Linked DNA regions of Bombyx mori. Each later gene encodes a partner of the first gene's protein in a complex. Links are inferred from orthologs where the notes say so. Each region holds a gene or a part of one and is shown on either strand. Other genes may lie near its edges.

The links. The genes of interacting proteins can lie anywhere in the genome.
Region 2: the proteins of medium-chain specific acyl-CoA dehydrogenase, mitochondrial (region 1) and electron-transfer-flavoprotein beta polypeptide are in contact, whole or in part, in a crystal structure (PDB 2A1T), measured with the Homo sapiens proteins. The link is inferred for Bombyx mori from reciprocal best matches to the Homo sapiens genes ACADM and ETFB. Residues at the interface, in NP_000007.1 of Homo sapiens: Glu43, Gln44, Lys46, Glu47, Phe48, Thr51, Lys54, Phe55, Glu58, Glu59, Arg80, Glu83, Leu84, Gly85, Leu86, Leu98, Leu100, Ile108; in NP_001976.1 of Homo sapiens: Glu73, Arg76, Thr77, Tyr192, Ala193, Thr194, Leu195, Pro196, Ile198, Met199, Lys202.
Region 3: the proteins of medium-chain specific acyl-CoA dehydrogenase, mitochondrial (region 1) and electron transfer flavoprotein subunit alpha, mitochondrial are in contact, whole or in part, in a crystal structure (PDB 2A1T), measured with the Homo sapiens proteins. The link is inferred for Bombyx mori from reciprocal best matches to the Homo sapiens genes ACADM and ETFA. Residues at the interface, in NP_000007.1 of Homo sapiens: Pro163, Lys173, Pro211, Gln232, Arg235, Glu237, Val251, Glu253; in NP_000117.1 of Homo sapiens: Arg223, Lys226, Arg249, Asp253, Ala283, Ile284, Gln285, Glu304.

Annotation. Positions count from the first base shown.
Region 1 is NC_085107.1:11,198,337-11,203,053, forward strand, and holds part of medium-chain specific acyl-CoA dehydrogenase, mitochondrial, read left to right. Parts: intron 1-2,362; coding exon 2,363-2,530; intron 2,531-3,655; coding exon of another isoform or gene 3,656-3,756; intron 3,757-3,986; coding exon 3,987-4,090; intron 4,091-4,717. UniProt on the Homo sapiens protein: Medium-chain specific acyl-CoA dehydrogenase is one of the acyl-CoA dehydrogenases that catalyze the first step of mitochondrial fatty acid beta-oxidation, an aerobic process breaking down fatty acids into acetyl-CoA and allowing the production of energy from fats.
Region 2 is NC_085131.1:3,928,144-3,933,655, reverse strand, and holds electron-transfer-flavoprotein beta polypeptide, read right to left. Parts: upstream 3,626-5,512; 5' UTR 3,558-3,625; coding exon 3,507-3,557; intron 3,039-3,506; coding exon 2,880-3,038; intron 2,617-2,879; coding exon 2,458-2,616; intron 2,379-2,457; coding exon 2,298-2,378; intron 1,948-2,297; coding exon 1,807-1,947; intron 1,328-1,806; coding exon 1,157-1,327; 3' UTR 1,054-1,156; downstream 1-1,053. Other genes in the region: DDB1- and CUL4-associated factor 10, read left to right, coding at 1-108. UniProt on the Homo sapiens protein: Heterodimeric electron transfer flavoprotein that accepts electrons from several mitochondrial dehydrogenases, including acyl-CoA dehydrogenases, glutaryl-CoA and sarcosine dehydrogenase.
Region 3 is NC_085111.1:13,689,288-13,694,448, reverse strand, and holds the start of electron transfer flavoprotein subunit alpha, mitochondrial, read right to left. Parts: upstream 3,626-5,161; 5' UTR 3,251-3,625; coding exon 3,209-3,250; intron 2,977-3,208; coding exon 2,836-2,976; intron 2,477-2,835; coding exon 2,212-2,476; intron 1,851-2,211; coding exon 1,635-1,850; intron 1,255-1,634; coding exon 1,103-1,254; intron 318-1,102; coding exon 207-317; intron 1-206. UniProt on the Homo sapiens protein: Heterodimeric electron transfer flavoprotein that accepts electrons from several mitochondrial dehydrogenases, including acyl-CoA dehydrogenases, glutaryl-CoA and sarcosine dehydrogenase.

The DNA of each region.
Region 1 (4,717 bases):
ATTGTTAAATTAAATCCGAAGCGTACCATCACGAATCAAAGCTAATAATAGCCTAATAGTTAAACTGCACATATCATAGGAAAATGGATCACAAATCCAACCAATATCATTTGAATTATGAAGAAAAAATTAAATTTTATCGGAGAAAAAAATCCTTTAAATTTTAACGTGGTTGGAAATTGTTTTTTTAAATGTTAATACATATGTCTATATTTTTTTCTTGCCTCTTAGTTTGCACTCCACTACTTTAGGCCATTACGAGTTCGTGTGCATGCGAAATATGAATTTACATTTAGGCGTGGGCTAGTTGACAGCTAGGTCAGTCATTTGAACCGGGCATCAGGTGAGACGGTGTTCAGCTTCCCCGTCGAGCACGGTATTACTCACGATCGGTTCTCCGTCCTTTCTTGTGAAACATCGCCTACGATTGGGTCCTACGGGATGTCCTGGGCATTACTCTCCGGGGCCTCAGCGTAGCTTGCTACGCGGACGACACTTAGGTTGCGGCCAGGGGGAAGGACTTTACCGAATCTGCCAGTTGCCGCCTTTCCTGCGCAGGGATGGCCTTAGTCGTCGGCAGGATCCTTGGCCTGAAAGTGGCGCTCGGAAATCGTAGACCCGACCGCCGTCTCCCTGAGTCTTCTGTTGCCGGACGACGGGGGTCCTAACGCGATAGCGCCGCGTTTCCACAGGGTTGGTGCACTGGTAATAGCACTTTATGGAGCTCCTGTGTGGCACAACCTGACCCGTGACAACGTCGCAACGCTGCGACGTCCGAAGCTTGCGATCGATGTTAGAGCAGTGCGCGTGTACCGCACCGTCTCGTTCCAGGAGGCGGGCGTGCTCGCCTGAACTCCTCCCTAAGCATTATGCGTGATGCGACCACTCAGCCCAGGCCGAGTCGATCCTAACGCGGGTCTCCAATATCGCCGGGCCGCGGTCGAGGCGTTCGTTTAGCTCCGGCTCCTTTGAGGAGGCAGTCTCTTCCCGATGCTGGTAACGAGGCAACCTGAAGGGATCGAGGCTGCGCCGCACGCTGTTGTCACTCTTACGCGCTAGCACCAGAAGGATGGGATGACAATCGGTGGCTGCAATCCGCGATGCCATCGTCGCTGTTATTGTCGGACGTATTAAGAAAGAGCAACCTGGTTGGTGGCATATCGCATTTTGTCCCGGCATGCTGGTTTTAAGCCAGCAAGGTATCGCGGATCACTAACGACACCGCCCGGGCGGCATGACTAGCTGCCGTATCGCGAAAACGGCCGTCATTGGTCGTCGACGAAAGCCTCACTTGGGAGAAATAGCGGTGGCGACGCGAGTCTGGTTGGAGTGATCGGACATCGGGTGAAAGAGTGCAATGGGAGTTGTTTGGTAGGTAGGGCACTAAAAACATCCTTGGGCATGCAATCTGCTCACATCATCTGCAGAGCGTCAAGTCCCACATACTACGCATGTCCCCTAGGCGCGGATACCTCATATGAAGTTCGGCCTACTGACCGAAAAAAAGGGTTAGTTGAGGCTAAGGCTTACGCATTATCAGGGATGACAACTTGTCGTAGCGAAATTTGGCAACAAATACTTGCTATTTGCGATTGTCCATTTACCCAGTGGCGAAGCGATGTCATGATAATGCTAATAATAATGCTGTGCCTTTTTGCCACCTCGGCGTAGTATTACGTTAGTAACTCTTAGTATTTATGTGACAAATAAAATACTGAGAACTTTATAGTTTTTTGAAATCAAATACTGGGAGCCACTTATCAGATTGTCGCTAAGGATCTTCGAGTCTACGTTTAACTTCAGTCAAATAATAGTTAAAAATGAACCGATAATACTACTTCCTGGAATTTTAATCGTTAGTACTATTACATTTTCTATATATTGATTGTTTTTAAAGATTTGCTGTAACTCTTAGAAACTAAAAACACGAATGTGCTTTCCACATTTTAACGGTAGACTCTAAAAGTAAAACAAAGCACTACCAGCTACGCAGTATACCTGCATAAGACATCTTAACTTTGCAAAAAATATGGCTGTAGTAGTACGACCAGTACCGGTCCTCAATACATGCTATGTTTTTTTTACAATAGCTTCAATCTCCCAAGCTACCACATGTATTGGTGTTATGTGATGGAAATATGGGAGTTGAATCATAATAAACCATCCTGTTCATATTTAATTATTTCTTTATTTATTTATTTAATATATTTTGTACACACAGCTGTTAGAAGAAACACGACAATAAGGATACAGAGTACAAGGACACTACTTATTTCATGTTGAAATCTCTTCCAGTAGGCCCGCAAAAGGAATGAAGAATTAGGAACACAAATTATTTACAAACATTATGTTTCAATTACAGAATTAACCGATGAGCAGAAAGCGCTTCAGGAACTAGCGCGTAAATTCACGAAGGATGAAATCATTCCTGTGGCGGGTCAATATGATAAGACGGGGGAGTACCCGTGGCCCGTTGTAAAGAAGGCTTGGGAAGTTGGCCTAATGAACGGACACATTCCAGAACATTGCGGTAAAGTTATCTGTTATCTTTAAACAAATATTTATCCGATTCTGTTACATATTTCCGGCATAGTAGGTATGCACCATCAAAGCTGCATAATTCCGAAAAGGAAGAAAATTTTTTTTTTTAAGTATAACAAGGAACTTTTCTGTCTTAGATATTAATCTAAGGTAGAAATTATAAATTCTTGAAGCTAAGTTAAGACTGTTAGAACCGAGCGGGTTATTTTGTTTAATAAAAGTTACTATTTAATTTACTTTAACAAAACTCGCCTAAGGTGTCACGGAGCTTATTTGATCTGATCATAAATACTATAAGAAAAAAAAGCTTTGAATTGGGAATGCTTTGTATCCGCATTTTCGCGATAATATTTGCCAAAACAAATTTTTAATACTATTTAAATGTAGTGGAGTGAAAAAGAGAACCATATTGCTATGATAGTATGTTTTACACGAAGCAGATATGGGAGCCAAATGTATTTTTTTAAATACTCTATCGGCTTGATAACATTCTACTCTTTGTGAAATGGAGTTTTGATGGGAATGACGGATCGTTACCGTCTAAATAAAAACAGGCTATCCACGTAGTACTAATTCATAAAAATAAGGCGATCCATGCAGTGGAGAACAGAATCTGAAGAAATCATGTCAAAAGGTTTTATCTACTTATAATATATTCGTATTACGTGCGACCGTAATGTGGTATAATTTAGAAATTACTTATGATTTGCTGTTTATTAGAGACGCACTGGTTTTTACTTACCCGATAATTTGAAAATGAATAGAGTGGCAAAATTAAAAACACTTTTTAGGCAGCACGCGAAGTGATCAAAGCTTTTTTAAATATTAAATAAATATAGTATTTTAGATGAAAATGGCAAACGGAGCCTATAAGTTATCACTATAGGTGAATTTTGCTATAAAAATCTAGAACGTTTGTATCGCGACAAATAGGCAGAATTATCGTACCACACGTAATTAGGAGAATTTATAAATTTAACGTTCTAGGGTTAATTTTTTTGTATCAACCGTGCATCACGAGTCCGCCAATTGGCCCGACCCATTAGGCCGGAATCTGTCAAAATGTTATAATTTTAAATATGTTATATTGTGGTCCCTAAAATCGATTCCACAGGAGGTCTAGGTTTAGGAGTGTTCGAGGCCTGTATTTTGAGCGAGGAGCTGGCCTACGGATGCTCTGGTATCATGGCAGCGGTGTACATCACCGAAGTTGGTGTGAGCACGCCGCACATACTAATTGTGTTTCACTAATCCGAAAAACGTGTGTCGAGCATGATATTGTTCTTACTGTAGTCAAGTTAAAAAAAAAACAGGGGTTTGGAGGTTAACGTTATTATACTGGGATTTCTATGGTGCGGGGTATTCTCATCCATACATTTAACAAAGTTTTAAATGACTGAGGCATAAATAAAATGTATTTGAATATAAATACTGGAGGTTTTCAGGGGGCATAGGGAATTTTGGCGTCTTCGAAGAGTGCATCGTAGCGGACGAACTTGCGTTTGGATGTACTGGCATCACGACAGCTATTGGGGGCACGTCCTTAGGAGTGAGTCATACAATAGAACGCCTAAAAAAACTGTTATAAAAATGTTGGGGGGTTTTTAAATATATTTTTATTATTTCACGCGTAATCATCATGTACCTAATGTAAGCTATGCTATTTATAGTTTTATTATGCACAAAATAATATTAAAAACCTTAAATATTTGTAAGTAGTATTGGTAATGGTAATTGCTATTAAATGTCATAATTATACTGCTGTGATGTTTCTGTATATGTTATGTGCATGTCTATTTAACGTATTGATGTAGAATGAGTTTTCTAAAAACTAGCAAATGCACACTCCGATACAAATACTTAAAAAATAATGCAAATAACTAATGCGATTTTAAACTACAATATTTTAGTAGCTTTTACCAGCGGCTTCGCGTTACCGATGTTTTATGGACTTTTATTCGCTAATAGATACAAATTCAGAGCATTTGACACACTGGAACATGCTACATATCGACGCTTGAAAGGCAAACGTCACTAAGCGACAATAACTGCTTTGTACATAAATGATAGGCAATAACCATATTCGATGCGCAAAAAAAATATATTTCTAGGTCTATTAAAATCATTTCAATCCTACAGCTACTAGCTAGATTCTACTACAGCTAGATTCGTTGAA
Region 2 (5,512 bases), on another chromosome or scaffold:
CTCGTAGTTAGTTCGCGGTTCAGTCCTCGATATCACATGCTCGTCACGGGCTGTCTAGACGGCAAGATAGTCTGGTACCAGCCGTACAGCGGAGAAGATTTGTATTAAAATAGATACTTAAATACAATTTCGGAAATCATACTGTTTATATTTTTAATCCAGTAGCTTTAATAAATTTTTCTTTTGATTAGAAAATATAAAGTGCCAGTGAAAAGTTTATTACCGAAAGTCGATTCGTGCCAAAGACACATTTTTACAGCACTTTGTACTTTAAAATATGTAGGCTTCCTCTTCCTCCTCCCCCAACCGAGACTTGTGAGTATAATTAAGCCTGATTACGAAAGTAAACGTCGAAGGATAAATAATTTATATAATAGGTAGGTATGTTTCTATTCTTTACCAATACATTTGATAACACCATCTAGTTATGATATTGGAAAAATTTAAATTAACTGGTAGTAGGACCACTTGTGAGTCCGCACGGGTAGGTTCCACCACCCTGCCTATTTCTGCCGTGAAGCAGTAATGCGAATCGGTTTGAAGGGTGGGGTAGCCGTTGTAATTATACATAGACCTTAGAACTTATCTCAAGGTTGGTGGCGCATTTATTTTGTAGATGTCTGTGGGCTCCAGCAACCACAACACCAGGTGGGGTGTGAGCTCGTCCACCCATCTAAGCAATAAATAAAAAATAAAAAAAATGATGGGTGGACGAGTTCACGGCCCACCAAGTGTAAAGTGGTTACCGAAGCCCTTCAATCTACAATGTTAATACCGCCATTCACCTTGAGATAAGAGATGTAAGGTCTCAGTATAATTACGACAGCTGCCTCAACCTTCAAACCGAAACGCATTACTGCTTCACGGCAGAAATAGCCAAGGCAGTGATACTTGTGCGGACTCACAAGAGGTCCTACCACCAGCAAATGATTTGTTTCGTTAGAAAAGCCTATTAATATATAATTAACCCAAATGTGAAATATTTAATTCTGAATTTCTTAACGATGAAATGGGAGTTTTTAATTAAAAGACAAAAAAGTAAACAATGTCAATAATTACATTAACAATATACATAAAACATGATTCTATAAACATTTAATATAAAAATGTTCCCTATGATTTTTCACTATTGATAAATTAAAAGTTCGATTTACGATTACACATGTCCGCCTTCCTTAAGCTTAGCAACGAGAGTGTCGACATCAGGTATGATGGAGCCAGCCTGTCGGACTGGAGGATCTTCCACAGAGACCACCTTGATACGAGGTGCCAGGTCCACCCCAAGGTCTTTGGCACTTACTTTTTTGAGAGGCTTCTTCTTTGCTTTCTAAAACAAATATAAATTACGGTAGATGAGGATCCTTCCCAACTAAAATAGAGACTGTATATATTCCATGTATTCAAAAAATTTATCATGAATCAATTACAATATTGATAACAACCATGTTACAATTAATAAATTAAATTTTTTATGTGATAAAAATGGTGTGCTGAGAACTAAATGAAAATATTATGATTTTTATTGAAAATATTATGATTTTTATTGAAAATATTATATTTGAAGTTGTTCAACTTATCAAGAATAGTTAGCAATCGTTGTATTGAAAGTTTAAATTGTATGAGGCATTAATCAACTTATCAAGAATAGTTCATCCTTTTCAATTCTCAATGGAAATCTATACATCCAAAACAACAACAATTTATCAGGCACAGCTTAATATGGAACTTGGGGTTCTTTATCTGCAGTGTATCAGTGTATGTTCTTCTAATTTCCATATTAGTATATAACTTTAGAGTTGTATTTACCATGATGTTAGGCAGTGTAGCATATCGTGGTTCATTCAGTCGCAGATCAGCACTCAGTACAGCTGGGATTTTTGTCTTGATAACCTCTAAACCTCCATCAATTTCACGGGTTATAGTTAGAGCACCATCAGTCTTTTCTATCTACAATAAAGATGAATTTGTTACTGTTTATTGTAATTGAAGGTTTGGCTAGGATAATTATGCATATGTCATTAAAATTGTCAATACATTGCTTACAGGCGGCCAATACAGCACACCGGTGGTACAGTTGAATGTATTTATGTTCACTTAAATTGAAGATGTTAGATAATTCGGTAATCCCAATATTGAACTTATGACTTCTTGCATTAAAGAAGAAAAGAGCATCATTTTAAACAAAATTGATGGGTTGTTTTTTTTAATCACTGAATAAAAACTTGTAATAATTGGTTATTATTGAAAACGAATTATAACTTAATTCATTAGTTCTATTTACAAATTATAAAAATTACCTTTGATGCAAATGTTCCTTGTGGCCAATCTAATAAAGCAGCAGTCATCTGTGCTGTCTGGTTGGAGTCATCATCTATGGCCTTAAAAATTAAAAAGAAAGTTTTAGGTATTTATGACACAATGACATAAAAAAATATATGCATTTTTAATTGTTGTTACCTGTTTGCCAACAATAACTAAGTCTGCCTTCTCATCTTGTGACAGTTTTGCTAAGATTTTTGCAACATGAATGGGCTGTAATGTGTCATATTCAGCCCCAGCCACTTCAACATGAATAGCTCGATCTGCACCCATCGCAAGAGCAGTTCTGAGAGTTTCCTTTATAATAAAATAAACAAGCTTTAGCCTCAAAAAGTATGTAAAAAAATTATAATGAGACTATAAACAATTCTTTTACTACTAATAGATGAAATTTATTCTTAAATTAATTTATTATTTTTATAAGAAATTGAAGTCATTAGTGTTAAAAAGACCGATTAGAATAAATTGTTCTTTTTAAATGAAATTTTATTTAAAATGAATTATAATTTTATTAGTTTAACATGAACATTTAACCAATCTGCATTTTTTTTAATGGATACCTGTGCTTGTGATGGTCCACAAGAGACTGCAATGACTTCGCTTGCTAACTTTTTTTCTTTCATTCGAACAGCCTCCTCTACTGCTATCTCATCAAAAGGATTCATTGAGTGCTTCACCCCATCTGTGACTACACCAGACTTGTCTGGCTTCACACGAATCTGAATATAAAATTCATATTAATCCTCTTTGTGATACTAAATTTCATATTACATTGCACACACTTGCCAAAAAACTTATTAATTAATTATACTAACTTTAGTAAGTAATCAACTTTACTATTGAATTAAAAAAAGTCTATTAGGATCTAACTAAGTGCGTCATTTTAAATTTTAGTATAGTATAGTTCGGAGTTAAAGGATTTTATCAGTAATGTAATCTTAATTTAAGTGGTCGAAAAGATTGCCAAGTGGCAAAGGGTCATTAATCAAGGCTATTATGAAAGATTATAGATAAGAATAGCTTAGAAACGCAAAGGTACTATATTCCAAATACAATTGGACAGTTACAGTCTTTATTGGTTATATATGTATGTATATACACGTATTCAAAATTATTAACTATTTATTATTCTTTTATTAATAAAAACGGTGCATAAAAAATAACCTTTGCACTTTCATATAACTTACTTTTACAGCATAGTCGATAACTCTCTTAACGCCAACAAGAACACGAGACATTTTTCTTTTAATTAGTATCTAAAAGGCGTAATAATTAAAGGACTAAATATTAACGAAAACAAACTAACAGGTAGGTACGAAGTCCAAATTTAAAATATCCACAGATTACTAACAAAGAGAGCAAAACTTTAAAACGTTATTAACATATATAATAATCTGTGGAACTTCGCTGGGTCACAGTGTGTCCACTTTTAGAGAATTCTCCTTTTTTTAGGGAAAAACAGTTGATATTTTGGATGGTTAAAGACAATTTGAATAATACAAGGATTTAGGGAATTTCGGGGTAAAACGCAAAGCCTATACTAGTAACCTTGTAGTAAAGTAAATCATAGACTAAACCACTGCTTTTTTCTTAGGAATTCCCCAGAATCCTAATAAGTGTAATCCGCCAAAATTTTATTTACCTATGTCACCAGAACCTACTCGTATTGTAATATATAGGTACTTCATGAACCATGAAAGATTATCGTGGTAATTTCATTTACGAAAACCTTGAAGTTGCCGTTTCACTTTTACTAGCAGTTCCTTCTTCAAAGACTGAAGTGGAAAGATTATTCAGTGTTCTTAAAAATGTAAAAACTGACAAAAGAAACAGGATTTTAATGACACCCCGAAAGGCTTGCTTCATACAAAGCTTAAAATGCTAGCAAACAATTGCTCAATCTTAGAACCGAACAGCGTTATGTTGCGTGCAGCAAAATAATATAAAAGCAATGCGTCGACTTCCCAAAAATTCTAATCCTATAGATCTATGATCTTCTGTGGGCGTTTTGTTATTATATATACCTACATTAAATAATATGCTATGGTTTATTTTCTGTATTTTATTTATGCTTCCTAAACTTCGATCATCAATAGTAACTAGATAAAGGGACACGTACAAAATTAAAGCAAAAGCTGTCCGCGTGAATATACACCTATAGCTACATTCGTTTACTAACAAACGGAGAAAAAAGTTTTGAAACAGTTTTAAGTTCAAACTAATTACAACTATGGTACTTTGTAATAAAGCCACAAATCTCCAAAACATTATCTAATACTTACGATCATTCGTCACATAAAATGAGCAAAGTAATAAATTAATCCTGTCACTTACAAATAAAAAAACATATGTTAAACAATTTTTAATGTTAAATCAACCTTAAGTGACAACAAATAAAGTACTTTTTCCCTTTATTGCTCTGAGAACAAACATCGTTTTGTTTTATTTATTTTTGCTTCTTGAAATTTCGATTTCTGTTTACTACAGGAGGTAAGGGAGTCGCGTTGAACACTAAAATAATTTATTAATGAATAAAAGCAAAAGTTTAGTTGTTTACTTTTTATGTTTTGGAAATTTATGTTTGTTAGTATCTATACATTATTTATTATTTTATTAGCGTTGCGTTTTTGTGTAATATATATTTTTATAGTATATTTTTAAGTTTTCGCGACCAGTGCACATAATAAAACAACGTTTAAACGGTTTCAAGCGCGGTATTTTTATTACAATGTTTCGGCCACGTTTCAGTAGCCGTGAGCACGGAAGACAAAGATGTCCAGTGTCAATGAGCGGAGATCTTAGCTGGCTTATAAAAGTCATCTCTTGTTTCTCTGGCGACAATCGAGATCCATTCTGCACACGTGATTGCTAGGAAAGCTAAAATAAAAAAGGAAAGCTAAGTATCTAATGAGAGTCCAAAAAACAGACACAAAAGCAGCATTAACCAATTTTAACCAACTAATTTTGAAGTACATCTAACAAATTTTAAAAAATTATTAAAACACAAATCTACTCCGTGCGTTTACTGTTCTGTTAAACAAACGTTTGTCCATGTGTTGGCCGAGCCTTGACAACATTTGTAGCGGTGGCTAAAAATCGGTAATTTTGTTCAAAATTTAATATTATTTATTAGTTTAAAGCTTCGATCAACAATAGTAACTAGATTTCGGGTCGGTGCATAAAATCCGTCTCG
Region 3 (5,161 bases), on another chromosome or scaffold:
TTAACATTGATAAAGAATGATAAATGTCTGTTGAACTTTTGCCTTTGAGATAAGTAAATTTAGAAGTGCGTTATTAAAAATATTATAAGATATTAAAATTAATGGAATAATAAAATCATTTAAGATCGGTCACTATGCAACATTGCCTCTGGATATACTTACTGTACATAGTAATTTGGTACTGTGACTGAAACACCTAATTTTACCTGGAAAATCGGAGCTTCAGGATCTTTGTTGATTGCTACAATGGTTTTGGAGTCTTTCATGCCGGCCAAGTGCTGAATAGCACCACTGATGCCTACAGCGATGTACAAGTCCTGGAGCAGGCGTCAAAAATACACATTAATAATACACTAAAATAATTATATATATAAATAGCAATATAATACTTTTTTTTTTTAGAAAAGTATATAATCAAAACACAATTTTTTTTGGTAGGACAATAATTAAATAACATTACTTTGCTATTACCAAATAATTAATTCAATTATAATACAATATATTCAAATTCTTAAGCAGTTACATGAAATGAAGAAAGAGCAAATAATGCTCATTCATTTGTGAAAGTTTTACACACTAATCTGTCTTACAGTGTGTATTTACTACTAATATTACTATGTGTTGTATATGTTATTTAGAACAACAAAGTCTGTTGTAAATATTGCAAGATATATTTATTTCAGATTACTTTTAGATGAACGGCATCAACACACATAATGAAAGAGTATGTTGTATATACTGGAACCGCTCAAGGACAGCATTAAAGTGAACAGTTCGTTTTATTGTAAAACGACAATCTAAAACTAAATTCACAAAAGCTTTATATGACATATACATCTATGACATTTTACGACCATAAATCTACCACCTCAATTGATTTTTGTATGAAATTTGTTATATTATGAGCAAAAGAAGTTTCTTTCCAGTCGAAAAAGAAATACATTTTTTAAATAATTTGTATGCTTTTGTGTTAGGAATCATAAAGGAGTTCTATACACCCTGTATCTGTGACATTCTGATAGAGTTGTGTATTCAATGTCAAATCTAAAGTGTATGAGATTCAAAGAAAGCACACCTAATTAAATATAAATTTAATACTAACAGGAGCAACAATCTTGCCAGTCTGTCCAATCTGTAGGTCGTTGGGTACAAAGCCAGCATCGACAGCTGCACGAGAGGCACCCACGGCCGCATTCAACTTATCAGCTAGATCATACAACAACTTGAAGTTGTCACCAGACTTCAAGCCTCGTCCTGTCAAATAACAACATTACACTTTGAATAATTCTGATGTGTAATTTGAATATAATTTTGAAAAGTATCTTTTTATTATGTAGATGTGTGAGCACTCTTACAGGTCATCCACATAACAGAAATAGGCAGCATATTGGTATCTATCTATGAGGGTTTACAGTACAATAATAATGCAGTAAGATAATTGCAGTATTTTAGCAGAACCAGTAGAACCATTCGTTGCTTTTAAGACCTATAAGATAACGAGAGTTTAAATAGTGGAATTTTAGTCCTATGAATTCTACATTACATTAATTTTAAAGTTTCTATTAAATTAGACCAAGCAATTAAATTAAGCATTGATTATTTATTATTATTATTTTTTAACTATAATATCTTACCACCAGATACAATATTCTTAGCACTAGTGAGTTCTGGTCTGTCAGATTTGGTCAATTCCTGCTTTAAAAATTCAACCAGATCAGTCTTATAGTCGCCCTCAGGTGCTTTATCAATTGCTGCAGACCCTCCCTCCAATGGCTCTGCAGGGAATGCTGTGCCACGAACAGTGATGACCTTGATAGGATCTTTGGCCTCAAGGGTTAATATAGCGTTACCTAAAAATATCAATCAATTAATCATTAATTAACATTAATTTCAGTTGAACTAACAGACTGTTTTTATTACCTTCATAGGGCAATGAGCTTATGGCCCATGTGACATTTGAGTGACATTGCTGGCATTACATAAGGACGTTTGCCATTGCCCACCATAGAGAACACTCCCGAAGGCACATTTGAAAAATGAAATGTTTTAGAGCTCAAGGAATACCATGGAGGGAAGTTTGTTGAGGTTGATAAATTGTATAAAAGAGCTCTGGAAATACACTGAGCATAGAGCCAGAGGCTTTACAAAGATGTATGAATAATGAATGTAAAAATGATATATACAAAATGTACATGATCAATAGGACCTCACCAGCATAAATTGTTCTCACAAAGGTATTAGCATCCTTGATACCAATGATATCAGTTATTGGTGACACATCAAGCTTGGCCGCAACTCGTGGCAGCACCGTCTTTCCGAAAGCAGTTGCTGGTGCTAAGATATGAGTGAATTTGAACTGTTTTTGTGTAGCCAAAATCAGAGGAGTCAGGGTTTCAGCAGTAAAACCTTTAAAGACATCACTCTCAGCCACTAAAACTTTAGATATACCATTTGCCTTAGCAATGGATTCTGCAGCCTGAAAGAAGTCAAATTTAAAAGTTTTTTATTAGGAAAATGATAATAGTACAATTATAGGTAAGCTCTGCAATTAGTACTGACTGCACTGTCCCATGACATTACATTGTACTTAATATTTGATATTCTAGCAATTTTTAATATTTAAGTAACTCTACTTTAAATATGACATCCTTCACATACAATAGCTAATTACAGAACCATGGCATTCTATTACAGGATTCTGATTAAAATTGACTTGATATATATTCATATAACGAGATTACATAAGATGCCAATACTTATTATTAATTGGTTCCAAGACTAAAACCCGAAACTGTACTTATTGTTTGTTAAATTAGCTTCAAAATAAAAACATACAGGTCCACATTTGGTTCCAGCCACAAGCACTGAGACATCACCTCCAATTTTCTTGGCAGCATTCAATGTATTTTGGGTTGCTGGAGATAGTACCTCATTGTTGTGCTCGGCGAGCACTAAAGTACTTTGCAAACGACGCAGCTGAAATTAGAGTCGCTATTACAATTCAGTAATATATTAGGAAAATATATTTAAAAATGGGTCTAAATTACTTATGCACCTATTTATTTCTAAAATCCAATTGAACAATAATTATCATAACTCACATCGTGACCTCGACCCTTGAAATTAACATATAAGTTTTAAGACTAATCTCATCTAGAGGTTAATAATCTAAGTTTTAGGATCTCAATATAATAATAAAGTTTCCAACCTGTCCAGACAAAAATAAATGCCTGCTATTGGGTGCAAACATTTTGATAAGCAAGATTTTGTTCAGGAAATCTGTTTTTATTTATTAAATAATTTATTAAACTTAAATCTAGGTTACAAAGTCCAATGTTCAAAAATGACAAGAGGTTTTTATTTGATTCGTGGCTAAGACAAGCAAAGGGAACGAAGTGCATGCCATTTTGTAGGAAAAATAGAAGTCATGTTTATTAAATAAAATGTAACATTTAACGATTGTGCTGGTTGAGTTGATTAAATAATGAAATCAAATTGAATTATAATAGGTAAGATAATATAACAGCTGTGGGATGACATGAAATATATTAAACTCTCTTTAAAGCAGTAGAAATTTATTGAGATTTTATAGAACATGTTGACGTCCGCGTGGCGTTAAAGGCTTATTACACTTGGCTAAATTTACGACTGAATTCAGAAGCAAGTTAGAAACTTCTGATTACACTATTCTTAATTCAGTTACTGAATCAATTGCCAGCTTAAGCGCGACGAAGTTGGACGTGTCGTGTGTATAAGAGGATGGCCCTAGTATTGTCTAGACAACAAAAAATTGGTCTTGGCGTAGTCCTCGCTTTTCTAAATGCGTTTCTAATTAGGCTTCTTAATAATTTAGTCAGTCAGAAACCATCCTTGCTACTGAATTTAGTAGGCTAGCTTACTGAATGCTGTTACACTTCACTGAATTCAGTACCGACTAAATTCAGTCGACTAAATTTAGCCAAGTGTAATAAGCCTTTTATCCGAAAATTTAAAAAGTTACTTGAATCCGAGTTGTACTCGTGTTTTGCCGCGAGAGGTGAATGTGGCTCACTGAAGGTAAATGCAGTACACTATAACTCCTTACACAGATTTAACTCCTTACACAGATTTAACTAATTCGAAATTATGCAGACTAAAAAAATCTAATTTTGCTGAGTAGCACTATTTATTAGATAAAGCGTTGTCGTGAATCGTGATTTTAACTGTAGTCTAGTTCAGTTTCCATTGCGTGGATAACAGATATTAATAAAAACGCTTTTGATTTCACAATAAAGTTATTGATAAATTTCATAGACATATACCGTAAAATGGGGCGACTAGGGACAAATTCCAACTTTATGAGCAATTTTAAGATAGTTGTTGATGTATATAATGCTATATCAGGATCAAAATGATTGAGTCTTGGGGGCATCTTTGTTGTCTAATTTAAAATTATGCAACTAGCATTCCAGTTTAAGCAAAAAATGCAAAAATAGCTGTAATCCCTATTTACCCGAAAATTGCGGTTAATTGGGACGAAATGAGAAATTTGCTAGGGTTGGCACTACTTTCATTTTTATATATAGTTTTAATTAATTTATTTATTTAGTTGCACCAACAAAGTGATCATCAATAAAAAAAATTTAAAAACTGACAAAAGTACATGGCAGACATCACCTCAATTATAGGTGCAATCGATAGTGCTGATATTTCTATCTGGGTTAAGAGATTAGGTGTGTCGGTTATTCCATGGATTAATCAGATGAATACCCCCACTCTGAACAAATATTAAATATTTATTTTTCAAATATTAAATATATTACTTAGACATTTTTGTCCACCTTGAGATTTCATTGATCTTGTTACATGTCTCTGCAAAATCGACTTACTTATATTAAATTGCTTATCTATTTCAACTAAAGACTTATTCCCTATTTCGCTTCGAATAAACCAGATTTTTACCAACAAATTTAAAAAATATTGTTATAACTACATAGACAACCCTACAAACCTGTACCTATTTGTACTTAGGTCGTTTCCATTTCACGTATTCTCATCCCAATTGACCCCTTTGTCGTTGTTATTTGTACCTAAGACGTCCCCAATATCCCCAAAAACAACAGATTTTTACATATATTTTTATTTAATCAAATACATTAAAACCAATAACAACTGAGACTTA